3 linked regions of the Anolis sagrei genome follow. The protein of the gene in region 3 interacts with the protein of the main gene of each other region in a pairwise test. Links are inferred from orthologs where the notes say so. Each region holds a gene or a part of one and is shown on either strand. Other genes may lie near its edges.

Region 1 (5,370 bases), on a different chromosome or scaffold from region 3:
GGAGATCTTTTATCTGAACCAGCCAAACTTCAAGTTTAGGTCACTGGTCAAAGCTGACAGGTTGGCATGCTTTCCCGTGTATGGGGAAGACTTCATGCCCTGAATGAAGCATGTGAGAAGGAAACTGTTCAGATTGGCTTTCAGGTATTGAGCGCTTGAGAGTTTATGGGGGAACAAATATTGTTTGTGTGGTTCAAAACAATGTAAAAGAATACATGTATCCATACATCCCAAATCACGGTAGGCTCTTAGAAATTGTGGGAGTTGGAAGTCCAAAGCATCTGGAGGGCCAAAGTTTGCCCATGTTTGTTGTAGAGCAGTCAAAAGGTAACCAATGAACAAGTCCACATTATTTGCTACAAGGTGACATCTGTACTAGATTGACATGATTCAATTGAAATTAGTGTGTTTATCTGGTGGGGTTCCTGTCCCCGGTTTCTCTTCCTTTTTCCTCAAACCTTTTTCCCTTTGCTTTTTCTTCTCTCCCCTTGCCCTCCTTTTTCTTTCTTCCCCCTTCCTTTTTCTTCTCCTTTCTCTTCCTTCCTTCCTTCCTTCCTTTCATCTCTACTTTCTCCCTTCTCCAGCTCCGAGGGCCAATTTCACAGCGTCTCCATGACACTCTTCACATCCCATCCCCTTTCTTCCTTTCCCTTCCTCCCTCCTTTCCCTTCTTTCCTTCCTTCCATTCTCCTTCCTTCCCTCTTTACTTCCTTCCTTTCTTCTTCCCCTCCTTTTCCTTCCTTCCCTCTTTCCTCCCTCTCTTACCTTCTTTTCCCTCCCCCTTCCCTCCCTTTTCTTCCATTTCTCCCTTCCTTCACTTCCCCTTCCTTCCATCGCTCCCTCCCTTTCCTTCCTTCCCTTTTTCCTTCCTCCCTTCCCTTTTCCCTCCCACCTTTCCTCCCCTTCCCTCCTTTTCCTTCTTCCCTTCTCTTCTCTCCCTCCTTTCCTCCCCTTCCTTCCCATCTCTCCCTTCCTTCCCTCCTCTCCTCCCATCACTCCATTCCTCCTTCCCTTTCCTTCCTTCCCTCCCTTTCCTTCCTCCCTTCCCCCTCTTTATTCCCTTCCTTCCCCTTCCCTCCTTTTCCTTCTCCCCTTCTCTTCCCTTCTTTTCTCTCTCTCCTTTCCTCCCCTTCCTTCCCTTCCATCTCTCCCTTCCCTCCTCTCCTTCCATCACTCCATTCCCTTCTTCCCTTCCCTCCTTTTCATTCCTCCCTTCCCTTCTTTCCCTCCCTCCTTTCCTCCCCTTCCTTCGCTCCCTTCCTCTTCCTCTCCTTCCATCTCTCCCTTCTCCTTCCTTTCCTCCTTCTCTCCCTACCCATACCTCCGCCCTCCCTTCCCTCTCCCTATTTCCTTCCTTCCTTTCCCAGTGACATCACAAAGGGCCCCATCCCCTAGCAACAGCCAATCATCCACTCCCTCGGAAGAGAAAGCTAAAGGCCCTGCAGCGCTGCCCTCGCGCGTATTTGCGCCTCTTCGAGAATCTCCCCCGAATCGCCGCCCCCGCCCCCTGGGAAACTACCACTCCCAGGATGCTTTGCGGCAAGCGAGGCCACTTCCTGTTCGTGGAGCAAGATGGCGGCGCCGGGAAAGAGGCACGAGAGGAGCGGGAGGGCGGCCGCCCCCTTGGGCTTCGCGGGTGAGGAGGGGTCAGGTCTCTGGGGAACCCGGTGCGGGGACGGGTATTTGGTAACCCCCTGGCAGGTGAAAGGGCTGCCAAACCGCATTAATTCTACAGTGTAGACTAGTAATGGGCCAACTTGGGTCCTCCAGGTGTTTTGGACTTCAACTCCCATCATTCCTAACAGCCTCAGGCCCCTTCCTTTTCCCCCTCAGCCGCTTAAGCGGCTGAGGGGGAAAAGGAAAGGGCCTGAGGCTGTTAGGAATGCTGGGAGTTGAAGTCCAAAACACCTGGAGGACCCAAGTTGGCCCATGCCTGGCCTAGGCCCTTGGAAACAACTTTCTTTCAACTTAACTCCATGATTTGCAGAAGGAACTGAATGGGAGGTTGGCAAAACCACACTTCCCTTCAGTTCCATTCACGTTGCACAAAATGGACTACGTTTTAATAAAGGCATGGGCTGAATAGTCCTTCAGGTTGAAAGGGAAAAAAAGACTGTTTACTGCTATCTTTTGTTACACTTGTATTAAAATCTCAAAGTTTTTGTGTATTTTCATGGGTTTGCTGTGCTAAAATGGATTTTCAGGGAGATACCACAAATAATACAGGCAGCCCCCAAGTTACAGAAAAGATAGGTTCTGTAGGGTTGTGCTTCAGTTGAATTTGTATGTAAGTCAGAACAGGTGCATTTTTGGAGTGTTATTCCAATTTAAAAAAAAACACACACACACACACACACACACATAAAACTAGCATAGGTAAAGTAAAGGTTTCTACTGAGATTAAGTCTAGTTATGTCCGACTCTGGGGGTTGATGCTCATCTCCATTTCTATGCTGAAGAGCCGGCGTTGTCCATAGACACCTCCAAGGTCATGCGGCCAGCATGACTGCATGGAGCACAGAAGCAGTACCTATTGATCTACTCACATTTGCATGTTTTTGAACTGCTAGGTTGCCAAAAGCTGGGGCTATCAGTGGGAGCTCACCCCGCTCCCCAGATTCAAACGCCAACCTTTAAGTCAGCAAGCACAGCAGTTTAACCTGCTGTGTCACCAGGGGGCCCTTGGATAACATAGGAAAGGGTTAACACCCTTGTGGTGTTTGTTTTATGGTCTGTGTCCCTGTTCAGAATACTTCCCCACACTTTTTGTCCCTATGATCATTAGATTTTGAAAAAAATGCTTGTTGTGGAAACAAGGACTGGTGCTAAAGCTTCAGTGGAGACACTTTTTCCCCATGATAACTCTTCCAGGAGTGAATTTCCCATCCTAGAGGCAGATTTCTCTCACTTTCTGTTGTCTCACCCTCATTCTTAACTGTGAGTCATTTATAAATCAGATGATTGTAACCCTCCAGGTACTTGGACTTCAATTCCCAACAGCTGGCAAGCTGGCTGGGATTTCTGGGAATTGAAATCCAAAACACCTGGAGAACTGAAGTTAGCCCATGCCTGGTCTAGCAGCCAAAGGGGAAAATCTCTTACACATTTGAATCATTAAGCTGAATAGCTTAATGTTTAGCTTTGAAACACCTAGTAACTCAAAATCCACAAAAGAATGGTGGCTTAATGGTTAACTAAAATGCACAAAACATACCAGATAAGCTTTCAGAATTCCACTGGATTCTTCATCAGCAAAAGATGATAAAAATCATGCAGGAGAAGAAGAAAAAGTGTCAGTGTTGGAGTCGCAGGCCTACCTTTTGTATCAGATGTTATTGCTGTTGTTCGGTTGACTTGGAGGGATCTCAATGGCAACAAAGACCAATCCCCTCTTGACCAAGTTGGGGCTGAGAAAAAGGATAGCAAAGTTTAAGCTCCAAGCTGAGTAGTGTAATTAGTAGCTGGTTGTTTTTAAAGTAACAACATATTTATTTACAAACGGATTCTTCTTTCTTTTTAGTAATACCAGTTAAGTTCTCTGAAAAGCACCAGTCACCTCACTATCTCTATGTGAAGGAACACAAAGTCAGGGAGGAAAAAGATCATAACAGACCTCAAAACAATACCCTTTTTGTTCTGAATGTCCCTCCATATTGTACAGAGGTGAGTATTTGGGAAAGGGAGGGAGAGCTATATGATCATGGACAGAAGATTGTGGATTATATTGTTGTGTGCCTTCATGTCATTCTGACTTGTAACCATAAAATGATTCTATCATTGAGTCTTCTTGGTGAGACTTTGTATATAATGGAATCAAAGCATCTACAGACGTTGGTATCCACAGGGAGTCCTGGAACAAAACTCTTGACAGATACCAGAGCCCACTGTACACTTATTTCTTAATGATTTCAGCCAGTACACAGTGGATACTGGGAATAAAGAGTTCTGCCTGTATACCTGTGTTATCTTATAGAAATAATATGTTGTACCTTCATAAAGAAGAGGAGACCAAGTATTGAACTAATATAACCTTTGTGCTTTTTCAAAAACTCACATTATTTGTCTTCTTAACTATTGAATTTTAAAATATATTTTTAGCCTTTTAAATAATTTTAGTATTTATACTGTTTAAATTTGTCAGACCAGTTTTATTGTATACCACCCTGAGATTTCTAGATAGAGGACAGGAGACATGTGTCTCTATGTATTTACATATTTGTATGTATAAAATGTAGGGCCTATATACTCTAAGGGCACCAGATCCTGTATGATATTGGAAGCTAAGCTCAGTCAGTTCCTAGATGGGAGACTACTATGAATCCCAGGTGCTGTAGGCTGTATTTCAGAAGAAATATTCATATATACAAATTGGGGTATTTTTGTTTATTGCAATAATTATATCCTGTTCTGTAACAAAGAGATTTCATGGCAGCTTTCAACTAACATAAATAGAGGGCAGAACAACATGGACAGACTACATACAAATAACACAATAGAGGACAGGAACCAAGTTCATGGTGCAGGGAATTGTACATTATTCTGAGGAATAGGCACAGATGAGCTCCTTGGGGATGGTTTCAGTCTTTTAAAAGGTTATTTCCTATAGAGCTGAATCATGCTGTGCTTTGGGATTGTTTATTATTGTTGTTGTGAACAATTCACAGTTTATTCTTGCTTCTGTAGGAATGTTTGTCAAGGCTATTCTCTGGCTTCGGCTCAGTACAGTCTGTTGAGCTGTGTGAAAAGCCAACGCTGGGAGAAAAAAAGAAACTACCCAAAACAAAGTTCTTTGGTGCAAAAAAACCTTTGGTAAGTCATAAACACTGAGCAAGGATGGGAAATACTGAGGTATTTGCATTTGGGGAGGGGAAAGGGAGCTCTCCTGAAACAGATAGGAGCAATTGCTTTCTTTGTGATTTTTTTTTATTGTGAACAATTCACAGCTTATTAGTTGCTTGTGTTTCAGGATCTCTGACTCAGACACTGTCACTTTCATATTTCAGAATTGCACAGTCAAGTATAAAACATATTGTCTTCCTCACCCCAAGTGTATTAGCGGACATCATACTTTAATCTTGGGTGCGGAGGAAGAAAATGCTGGTATGGTATACTGGAGACAAGGGGTCACATTCCAGCTCAGCCATGGAACCCCCCTGGGTAGCCTTGGGCAAGGCATACTTTCTCAGTCTCAGAGGAAGGCAACATGTAAGCCTTTCTGAACAAATCTTGCCAAAGAAAGCCTATGATAGTGTTGGTTTCGGGCCATGAGTAAGACATGACTGGAAAGCACACAAGAGCAACAACAAGGAGAAAGAGTGTTTAGTGTCTATAGCCTGCACACAATACTTTTGCATTTGCTCCCTTTGGCAC
Region 2 (5,370 bases), on a different chromosome or scaffold from region 3:
GGTACTCACCTTTAAGGCCTTGCATGGTCTGGGGCCGATGTACCTGAGGGACCGCCTCACCCCCTACCAACCCCAGAGATCCCTCCGTTCTGAGGACCAAGATCTATTGGAAATTCCCAGCGTCAAGACCTTGCGTCTAACAGCAACCAGGCGCAGAGCCTTCACAGCAGTGGCACCATCGCTCTGGAATACTCTGCCACCTTGCGGGACCTATCAGCTTTCCGCAGGGCATGTAAGACATATCTGTGTCAACAGACCTTTGATGTCTGATATTGTTGTTTTTAGAATCATAGAATCATGGAATCAAAGAGTTGGAAGAGACCTTATGGGCCATCCAGTCCAACCCCTTGCCAAGAAGCAGGAATATTGCATTCAAATCACCCCTGACAGATGGCCATCCAGCTTCTGTTTGAAAGCTTCCAAAGAAAGAGCCTCCACCACACTCCGAGGCAGAGAGTTCCACTGCTGAATGGCTCTCACAGTCAGGAAGTTCTTCCTCATGTTCAGATGGAATCTCCTCTCTTGCAGTTTGAAGCCATTGTTCCGTGTCCTAGTCCTCAGGGAAGCAGAAAACAAGCTTGCTCCCTCCTCCCTGTGGCTTCCTCTCACATATTTATACATGGCTATCATATCTCCTCTCAGCCTTCTCTTCTTCAGGCTAAACATGCCCAGCTCCTTAAGCCGCTCCTCATAGGGCTTGTTCTCCAGACAATTTAAATTGTTTTTAAATTGTTTTGTTGTTGTTCATTCATTCAGTCGTCTCCGACTCTTCGTGACCTCATGGACCAGCCCACGCCAGAGCTCCCTGTCGGCCGTCACCACCCCCAGCTCCTTCAAGGTCAGTCCAGTCACTTCAAGGATGCCATCCATCCATCTTGCCCTTGGTTGGCCCCCTCTTCCTTTTGCCTTCCGTCACTTTCCCCAGCATAATTGTCTTCTCTAGGCTTTCCTGTCTCCTCATGATGTGGCCAAAGTACTTCAACTTTGTCTCTAGTATCCTTCCCTCCAATGAGCAGTCGGGCTTTATTTCCTGGAGGATGGACTGGTTGGATCTTCTCGCAGTCCAAGGCACTCTCAGAACTTTCCTCCAACACCACAGCTCAAAAGCATCTATCTTCCTTCGCTCAGCCTTCCCTAAGGTCCAGCTCTCACATCCGTAGGTTACTACAGGGAATACCATGGCTTTGACTAGGCGGATCTTTGTTGCCAGTCTGATGTCTCTACTCTTTACTATTTTATCGAGACTGGACATTGCTCTCCTCCCAAGAAGTAAGCGTCTTCTGATTTCCTGGCCACAGTCTGCATCTGCAGTAATCTTTGCGCCTAGAAATACAAAGTTTGTCACGGCCTCCACATTTTCTCCCTCTATTTCCCAGTTGTCAATCATTCTTGTTGCCATAATCTTGGTTTTTTTTATGTTTAGCTGCAACCCAGCTTTTGCGCTTTCTTCTTTCACCTTGATTAGAAGGCTCCTCAGCTCCTCCTCGCTTTCGGCCATCAGAGTGGTGTCATCTGCATCTCTGAGGTTGTTAATGTTTCTTCCAGCAATTTTCACCCCAGCCTTGCATTCATCAAGCCCCGCATATCGCATGATGTGTTCTGCATACAAGTTAAAAAGGTTGGGTGAGAGGATGCAGCCTTGCCGTACGCCTTTCCCAATCTTGAACCAGTCTGTTGTTCCGTGGTCAGTTCTGACTGTTGCTACTTGGTCCTTGTACAGATTCCTCAGGAGAGAGACACGGTGGCTTGGTATGCCCATCCCACCAAGAACTTGCCACAATGTATTATGATCCACACAGTCAAAGGCTTTAGAATAGTCAATGAAGCAGAAATAGATGTTTTTCTGAAACTCCCTGCCTTTCTCCATTATCCAGCGAATTTTGGCAATCTGGTCTCTTGTTCCTCTGCCTTTTCTAAACCCAGCTTGCACATCTGGTAACTCTCGTTCCATGTATTGCTGGAGTCTTCCTTGCAGGATCTGGAATATTGTGTCCAATTCTGGGCACCACAATTCAAGAAAGATATTGACAAGCTGGAATGTGTCCAGAGGAGGGTGACTAAAATGATCAAGGTTCTGGAGAACAAGCCCTATGAGGAGCGGCTTAAAGAGCTGGGCATGTTTAGCCTGAAGAAGAGAAGGCTGAGAGGAGATATGATAGCCATGTATAAATATGTGAGAGGAAGCCACGGGGAGGAGGGAGCAAGCTTGTTTTGTGCTTCCCTGGAGACTAGGACGCGGAACAATGGCGTCAAACTACAAGAAAGGAGATTCTATATGCCTTTATATTCTGGGTGATATGGCTGTGAAGAAAGGCCTTCCCTCTCTTCCCTTCGACCTTTCCCTTTTCCCCTACTGAGAGAATGGAGCATGAGGACCCTTTTGCTCCGTGAAGCCACTTAAAACAATTGAAGTAAACCGAGGGGAAAGTGGGGGCATCTACACTGCAGAATGAACGCAGTTTGACATAACTGTATCTACTCATTCGACCTCCTTCCCAGCCTTGGCCCGCTTTACCCTTTCAGCTCCCACGACGCTCCTGCCGCCTTTCCCTCAGCGTCGTGCGTTCCCATGGAAACCGACGCTCTGCTTCCGCCTCTTCCCGCCTCTTCCGCCTCCTTTCTTCTTATTGGCTGTTCCTTCCGCACCGCACGAAAACATCCTCTCTTCCCAGTCGCTGTTGACGCTCTGCATTCTGGGAGTTGTCGTTCAAGACTCTCAGAAAAATTGAGTGGAAACCACATTTCCCAGCAGCCACTTGGGCATGGCTAGGCTAGTGTAGTGCCTGAAGGACAGTTCACAGGCCCTAGTTTTAGACATTTTTTGAAACCAGAGGGTGGGCTTGTCTCTCATGCAAGGAGCCAAAGAGTCTACAAAGTCTTGGGCTGTGGAACCATCTATTTTTGTGGAAGGAGAAGCTGCCTTGGTCGACTAAGCCCAGACAGGTAGGGCATGATGATGCTGCCTCTCTTGCCCAGATGTTGGCACTTGGCAGCTGGGATCCCAGCAAGGAACTGGTTCCTGTCTGGTGGAGGAGGCCTTGCTGGGCAGGAAACATGGAGTGGCACCTGCCAACTACTGCCTCGCTTGCTTTCAACCAGCCCTGGCAGCAGAAGTCAAGATCCCTCTCAACCCAAAGAGCCCAGGCCAGAGAACAGGGAAGCCCTCAAGGAGTGGGCCCTGGCTGTGTGCCCCTTTGGCTCACTGAAGGCCCGCCTCCCTTGCCACATCACTCTGTGCCCCCTGGACCCCCACAAGCACCCTGATGGAGACAGGGTTTTCGTGACCGTGAAAGGGGCCAACGCCGAGATGCACCACCCAAGATCAAGCCTGGATTCTTTGCAGGTGAAATACGACGAGGGGCTTAAGCAAGTGAGCATCATCTCAGGTGGCGTGGACAGTGCTGCCTCGGTGGATGTGAGAATGCCCATGAAATTTGGTACGTGTGTCGTGAATGACTTTTACAGTATATATATATATATATATATATTCACCCTTCTCACCCCGCAGGGGACTCAGGGCAGATTACAATGTACATATACATGGCAAATATTCAATGCCATAGACACACAACATATATAGACAGACACACAGAGGCTATTTAACATTATTTATTTATTTATTTACCTTACTTATATACCGCTGTTCTCAGCCCGAAGGCGACTCACAGCGGTTCACAACAAATATGAACAGCAAAAATTCAGTGCTACAGTATAAAAACAGTTAACAACCTAACACATTACACAATTAATAAACAGTTACTACAATACCCATTCACAATACCCATTCCAGCTTTCATGAGGGTATTCTGGCCACCAGGGGAACTGTTGCTTCACTGTCCATTTGTGACACTGATGAAGTACTTCCTCATTCTTTGCACGCTTGCTGGAAATTGTTATGACATCGTAAATTAGTTAAATTAGCCTCCCCACATAAGCGGTACCTAAATTTCCTACTTGACGGATGCAACTGTCTTTCGGGCTGCAAAGGTCGACAGCAAACTACAAAAATTGGTTGGAAGCTCACTCTGACCCGGGCTGGCTTCGAACTCATGAACTTTCGTTCAGTAGTGATCTTAATGCAGCTGACTCCCAGCCAGCTGCGCCACAGTCTCAGTGATTCCATAGCAGTTTTCACAAATAAGATATCAAAACAATGATAAAAACTAATATGCAGAAGAAAAACAATATACTTAGCAAGATTTTTGAAAACCAGGTTTTGGGAGATGAAGAATGACTTTGCTTGTTACATAAAAAGAGCACCATTTGGCCATGAGAAGATCAGAAGACTTTTCAATGACTTTGAAGCATAGGTTCTTTTTATTGCAATTTCCAGTCTGAGAAGGTATATCAGTTTACAGAAAACATTTAGGCAAAGAATGACATTGGACACACAGACATACAGATTCTATGCAACTACATTGGATTTACAATTATTATTATTATTATTATTATTATTATTATTAACTTTATTTGTACCCCGCTAACATCTCCCAAAGGACTCGGTGCGGCTTACAAAGGCCAAGGCCCTCAATAAACAACAGCATAACAAAAACAACAATAAAATTCAAAAAGCAAACCAATAAACATTAAAGCAATAACAGTAAACATTAAACAATAACACCATGACACATTTAAAAATTAAGGGTCGGGCCAAATGCAATGAATAAGATTAAAAGTGCTGGACATGACAGGTGAAATGTAAGGATTTTAGAGTAGGTGCGATGTGCAGACAATCTTAAATCTCTAATAAAGTGCTTTTGGGACATGATGCTGGGAGTTTCCTATTCTGGAAAGGCACACTGGAACAGCCAGGTCTTCAAGCTCCTCCTAAAGACTGCCAACGTTGGGGCTTGTCTGATGTCCTTGGGGAGAGAGTTCCAGAGCCGGGGGGCTACCACAGAGAAGGCCCTGTCCCTCGTCCCCACCAAACGCGCTTGCGACGCAGGTGGAATCGTGAGCAGGGCCTCTCCAGATGAACGGAGGGATCATGTGGGTTCATATACGGAGATGCGGTCACAAACAAAGTGGAATTATAATTTCACTCAACATTCACACACATGTACATGCATTCATCCACATGCATCCAAAATATTACCATATCATTTTCTCCCTCCTTGGAGAAGCACCTCTTAGGCCAGACCCTGCTTTCCTGCAGCCTGCCAATGTATAGTTCCATAACTTCCATAATGCCAAAACTTCAAAACGCCGAAATGTTGAAACTTCTTTCCCTAAACACAATGCCAAGGACCAGATCTCTGTTTTTCATATGGCAGAACCTGACTCCCTGCACAAATCTAAGACTCCAAAAGCACACTTCTTCCTCTTCCCTTGAGAAAGAAGCCCCAAAGTGACCAGACTACTCCCGTGCAG
Region 3 (5,370 bases):
GGTCCCTTTCAGATCTATGGTACTGCATCTGTCATATACATATGTGTGTGTGTGTGTGTGTGAATGGCTGGATGGCCCTTTGTCAGGAGGGCTTTGATTATGATTTCTTGCCCTGGTGAAGGGAGTTGGACTGGATGGCCTTAAGGCAGTATTTCTCATCCTGGTAAGTCAAGACCCCGGGTGGGGGGGAGAGTCACCAGAGGGGTGTCAGAAGGGTCACCAAAGACCACCGGAAAACACAGTATTTTCTGTTGGTCATGGGGGTTCAATGTGGGATGTTTGGCCCAATTCCATCATTGGTGGGGTTTGGAATGCTCCTTGATTGTAGGTGAACTATAAATCCCAGTAAGTTCAACTCCCAAATGTCAAGGTCTATGTCCCCCAAACTCCATCTGTGTTCATATTTGGGTGTATTGAATGCTTGTGCCAAGTTTGGTCCAGATCCATCATTGTTTGAGTCCACAGTGCTCTCAGGATGTAGGTGAACTACAACTCCCAAACTCAAGGTCAATGCCCACCAAACCCTTCCAGTGTGTTCTGTTGGTCATGGAAGTCCTGTATGCCATGTTTGGTTGAATTCCATCATTGGTGGAGTTCAGAATGCTCTTTGATTGTAAGTGAACTATAAATCCCGGCAACTACAACTCCCAAGTGACAAAATCATAATATTTGAGTGATGATCACTCCTTGTGTTGTGAGACGTTTTGTTGCCAAATTTGGTGTGATTTCGTTCATTGGTTCTTTTGTTTTTAAGGTATTCATTATGCACAGAGCATTTATATATATATATACACACACACACTAGCTGTCCCCTGCCACGCATTGCTGTGGCCCAGTCTGATGATCTGGAAAATAAAGTAATGAGAAAGTGTTGGTTTCTAATATATGTAATTCCTTTATGCTTGTGGGTAAACAGTATTTCTTGGTTTTTTTTTCAGTGTTGATGTGGAGAGTGTCTGGTTTGCCCACCCTGGAACATGCAACATATAATTGTCCTTCTTTAAGGGTCCCTTTCAAATCTATGATACTATGTGTGTGTGTGAATCATATATATCTATCTATATCTATATCTGGATGGCTCTTTGTCAGGAGGGCTCTGATTACATTTTCTTGCCCTCGTGAAGAAGAGAGTTGGAGTGGATGGCCTTAAGTATTTTCTGTTGGTCATGGGGGTTCTGTGTGGGAGGTTTGCCCCAATTGCTGGGGTTCTGAATCCTCTTTGATTGTAGGTGAACTATAAATCCCAGTAACTACAACTCTCAAACATCAAGGTCTATTTCCCTCAAACTTCATCTGTGTTCATATTTGGACATATGGAATATTTGTGCCAAGTATAGTCCAGATCCATCATTGTTTGAGTCCACAGTGCTTTCTGGATGTAGGTGAACTGCAACTCCCAAACTCAAGGTCAAGGCCCACCAAACCATTGTAGTATTTTCTGTTGGTCGTGGGAGTTCTGTGTGCCAAGTTTGGTTCAATTCCATCATTGTTGGAGTTCAGAATGCTCTTTGATTGTAGGTGAACTGTGAATCTCAGTGACTACAACTCCCAAATGTCAAGGTCTATTTCCTCCAAACTCCATCTGTGTTCATATTTTGGCGTATTGAGTGCTTGTGCCAAGTTTGGTCCAGATCCATCATTGTTTGAGTCCACAGTGGCTTCTGGATGTAGGTGAACTGCAACTCCCAAACTCAAGGTCAAGGCCCACCAAACCCTTCCAGTATTTTCTGTTGCTCATGGGGGTTCTGTGTGCCAAGTTTGGTTCAATTCCATCATTGTTGGAGTTCAGAATGCTCTCTGATTATAGGTGAACTATAAATCCCAGCAACTACAATTCCCAAGTGACAAAATCATAATTTTTTGAGTGATGGTCACTCCTTGTGTTGTGAGACGTGTTGTTGCCAAATTTGGTGTGCTTTCGTTCATTGGTTCTTTTGTTTTTAAGGTACTCATTATGCACAGAGCATTTTTATATATATAGATAGAAGATAGATAGATAGATAGATAGAAGATAGATAGATAGAAGAGAGAGAGAGAGAGAGAGAGAAGATAGATAGACAGATAGAGATATAATAGATAGATAGATATAGAAGATGGATAGAAGATAGATAGATAGATAGATAGATAGAGATATAATAGATAGATAGATGATAGATAGAAGATAGATAGATAGAGATATAATAGATAGAGAGAAGATAGATAGAGATATAATAGATAGATAGATAGATGATAGATAGAAGATAGATAGATAGAGATATAATATATAGAGAGAAGATAGAGATATAATAGATAGATAGATAGATAGATAGAAGATAGATATATAGATAGAGATATAATAGATAGAAGATAGATAGATAGATAGATAGATAGATAGAGATATAATAGATAGAAGATAGATAGATAGCAGATAGATAGATAGAGATATAATAGATAGATGATAGATATAGATAGATGATAGATAGATAGAAGATAGATAGATGATAGATAGAAGATAGATGATAGATATAGATAGATAGAGAGAGAGATAGAAGATAGATGATAGATATAGATAGATAGATAGATAGATAGAAGATAGATAGATGATATAGATAGATAGATAGATAGATAGATAGATGATAGATAGAAGATAGATAGATAGAGATATAATAAATAGATAGATAGATAGATAGATAGAAGATAGATAAATAGATAGAGATATAATAGATAGAAGATAGATAGATAGAAGATAGACAGAGATATAATAGATGGAAGATAGATAGATAGAGATATAATAGATAGATAGATAGCAGATAGATAGAGATATAATAGATAGATAGATAGATAGATAGATAGATAGATGATAGATAGAAGATAGAGAGAGAGAGAGAGAGAGAAGATAGATAGATAGAAGATAGAGATAGATAGATAGATAGATAGATAGATAGAAGATAGATAGATAATTGCATATTATTATATACAATAGAATAAATATAATAATAAATACTGTTTAACCCACTGTTTCCAGGCAGAACAAGCCCCGTAACGGTTTCCATGGCAACCCTTTTATAATAGTTTATTAATATAAAATATATTAATATGTGATAGTCATAAATATGGCAATAATAATAATATTATATATATATATTTCTTACCTTCCTTCTTTCGTGAAAGGGAAACAAAGGCCTGCTTCTTCTTCACAGCCTTCTCCTCGCTGAAATGAGCGCCACTTCCTGTTTGGCCTTCAAGCGACTGCGACTGCGCCTGCGAGCTCAGCGTTGACAATGGTGAAGCCCGCCCCGGAAGTGACGCCTTGCAGGAGCAAGCGGATTGAATGAGGAAACAATAATGGGCGACGTAGCGACGTTTCGTGGTGACCGCCCTCATTTTCTCATCTCTGACTTTCTAGTTTTTCGTCTCGATGGTTACGGTGGCCCGAAAAGCTCATTTCCAGACTCATAGGATGAAGCTCATAATAAGAATACTAATGACAATAATAATAATAGTATACTATAAAATACACAAATTGAAAACAAGAATGTGTGTGTGTGTGTATATATATTTATATATATATATATGTGTGTGTGTGTATATATATATATATATATATATATATTGAAAATAAGAATATAATAAAATATGGATATAATATAATAATTTTTAAATATAATTTATTTATTTATCATTTATTTACTTCATTTGTATACCGCCATTCTCAGCCCTAACACGACTCATAGCAGTTTACAACAAGCAAAAACAAGGCGAACAATCAAGGCAAAAATTCAATGTGGCATCAAGAAGGTACTTAAAAACAGTTAACACAGAAACAAATTAAACAATTTAACACTAATAAACATTCAGTGGCGTCTCATAACTAGAATCATGATCCAAACTTGTCAGTCGTAGTTCCATTTCCTGAAATTCATTGCACTGCTTATTCAAACGCCTGTTCAAATAACCAGGTTTTCACTTTCCTCCGGAATACCATCAATGAGGGGGCCAATCTGATGTCCGTGGGAAGGCCGTTCCACAGCCGAGGGGCCACCACCGAGAAGGCCCTGTCTCTTGTCCCCGCCAGCCGCGCCTGTGTTGCAGGCGGGATCGAGAGCAGGGCCTCCCCGGAAGATCTCAAAGTCCTAGTGGGTTCATAGGTGGAGATGCGGATAGGTAACTTGGGCCAGAACCGTTTAGGGCTTTATAGGCCAAAGCCATGTGTGCTATAATGTCAATCAAAATCATAAATCTCCTGGTTCCATTATATGCAAATTACTGACTGCTTTAAGGAAGACAAAAAGAAAGACTTCTCCCCACAAGAGTCACTGTGGGACAAAATAATGGAAAAGGATAAAAAAGTGGTCAGAACCCTTTATGGGAAACTCCTGGAGTGGGAAACTGAACTGGAAGTTGTAAAGGAGAATATGACCAGCTGGGCAGCTGATTTCGGGCACTCTATTCTCCTCAGCGAGTGGGAGGCTATATGGAAGAGAAAATTAAAATTTGCAAAATCCACCAACATACTAGAAAATTGGCAAAAAATCTTCCACCGATGGTACCTAACTCCACAGAAGATGGCAAAATTCCACAAAGGAACGAACAGTGACTGCTGGAAGTGTGGGGGGGAGCTGGGTACCCACTATCACGCATGGTGGCAGTGCAAAAAAGTCAGGAACTTCTGGCGGGAGGTGCATAGGGCAGTGCAGAAGATCCTGCAGATAAAAGTGGAGTTTAAAGCAGAATATTATCTTTTACATTTATTAGATTTTCAGTTAGACCCTAACAAAGATATGTTGTTGTTTCACTTCTCAGCAGCCGCCAGAATTGTGCTCGCCGGCAAGTGGAAGAGTAAGGAATTACCAAAAATTGATACCTGGCTATTAAAAATTAGAGATTTAATGGAGATGGACACTCTTGCAACTATGACTTACGAGATTAGCGAGAGACGCAAGATTGACTGGCAACCATTCAGGCAATATTTGAAAGAAAAGAAGAGTATAATTTTATAATTTTACAAGATTTGGGAAGCGGCGTAGACGATCAAGAGACTTTGTTTTCTATTGTTACTAGTATAACTCTGCTGAATCTCTGAGGAAGTCCACTTGTTGATTGTAACTTGTCGATAGAATGATGCCTCTGTAATTGTGTGTGTAGGTGCTATGTAGCACCAACCTTCTAGCACCCCCCCCCACTAACCTTCCCCCCCCCCCCCCGCCCACACTTTCCCTCCCTTTACCCTATACCCACCCCAACCCCAGGGCTGACTGTGGAATATGTAATGTTTATTGTGCAATATTCAATGCCTAGCGGACCATAACTGAATATTTGTGTAATTGTGTAACTGTGTAACAGTGTAACAGTGTAACTGTATAATTGTACGTTTTAGCTATGTGTCTTCAA

The links.
Region 1: the proteins of TFIP11 (region 3) and RRP7A interact in binary tests that used the Homo sapiens proteins (3 or more experiments, as listed by UniProt). The link is inferred for Anolis sagrei from reciprocal best matches to the Homo sapiens genes TFIP11 and RRP7A.
Region 2: the proteins of TFIP11 (region 3) and CCDC146 interact in binary tests that used the Homo sapiens proteins (3 or more experiments, as listed by UniProt). The two-hybrid records come from large-scale screens. The link is inferred for Anolis sagrei from reciprocal best matches to the Homo sapiens genes TFIP11 and CCDC146.

Annotation. Positions count from the first base shown.
Region 1 is NC_090025.1:160,160,118-160,165,487, forward strand, and holds the start of RRP7A (ribosomal RNA-processing protein 7 homolog A), read left to right. Parts: upstream 1-1,506; 5' UTR 1,507-1,572; coding exon 1,573-1,636; intron 1,637-3,520; coding exon 3,521-3,663; intron 3,664-4,683; coding exon 4,684-4,809; intron 4,810-5,370. UniProt on the Homo sapiens protein: Nucleolar protein that is involved in ribosomal RNA (rRNA) processing. Also plays a role in primary cilia resorption, and cell cycle progression in neurogenesis and neocortex development.
Region 2 is NC_090025.1:85,574,966-85,580,335, reverse strand, and holds the start of CCDC146 (coiled-coil domain-containing protein 146), read right to left. Parts: upstream 2,672-5,370; 5' UTR 2,516-2,671; intron 1-2,515. Other genes in the region: protein FAM185A, read left to right, coding at 2,951-3,437. UniProt on the Homo sapiens protein: Essential for sperm flagellum biogenesis and male fertility.
Region 3 is NC_090034.1:60,706,138-60,711,507, reverse strand, and holds the start of TFIP11 (tuftelin-interacting protein 11), read right to left. Parts: upstream 3,288-5,370; 5' UTR 3,132-3,287; intron 1-3,131. UniProt on the Homo sapiens protein: Involved in pre-mRNA splicing, specifically in spliceosome disassembly during late-stage splicing events. Intron turnover seems to proceed through reactions in two lariat-intron associated complexes termed Intron Large (IL) and Intron Small (IS).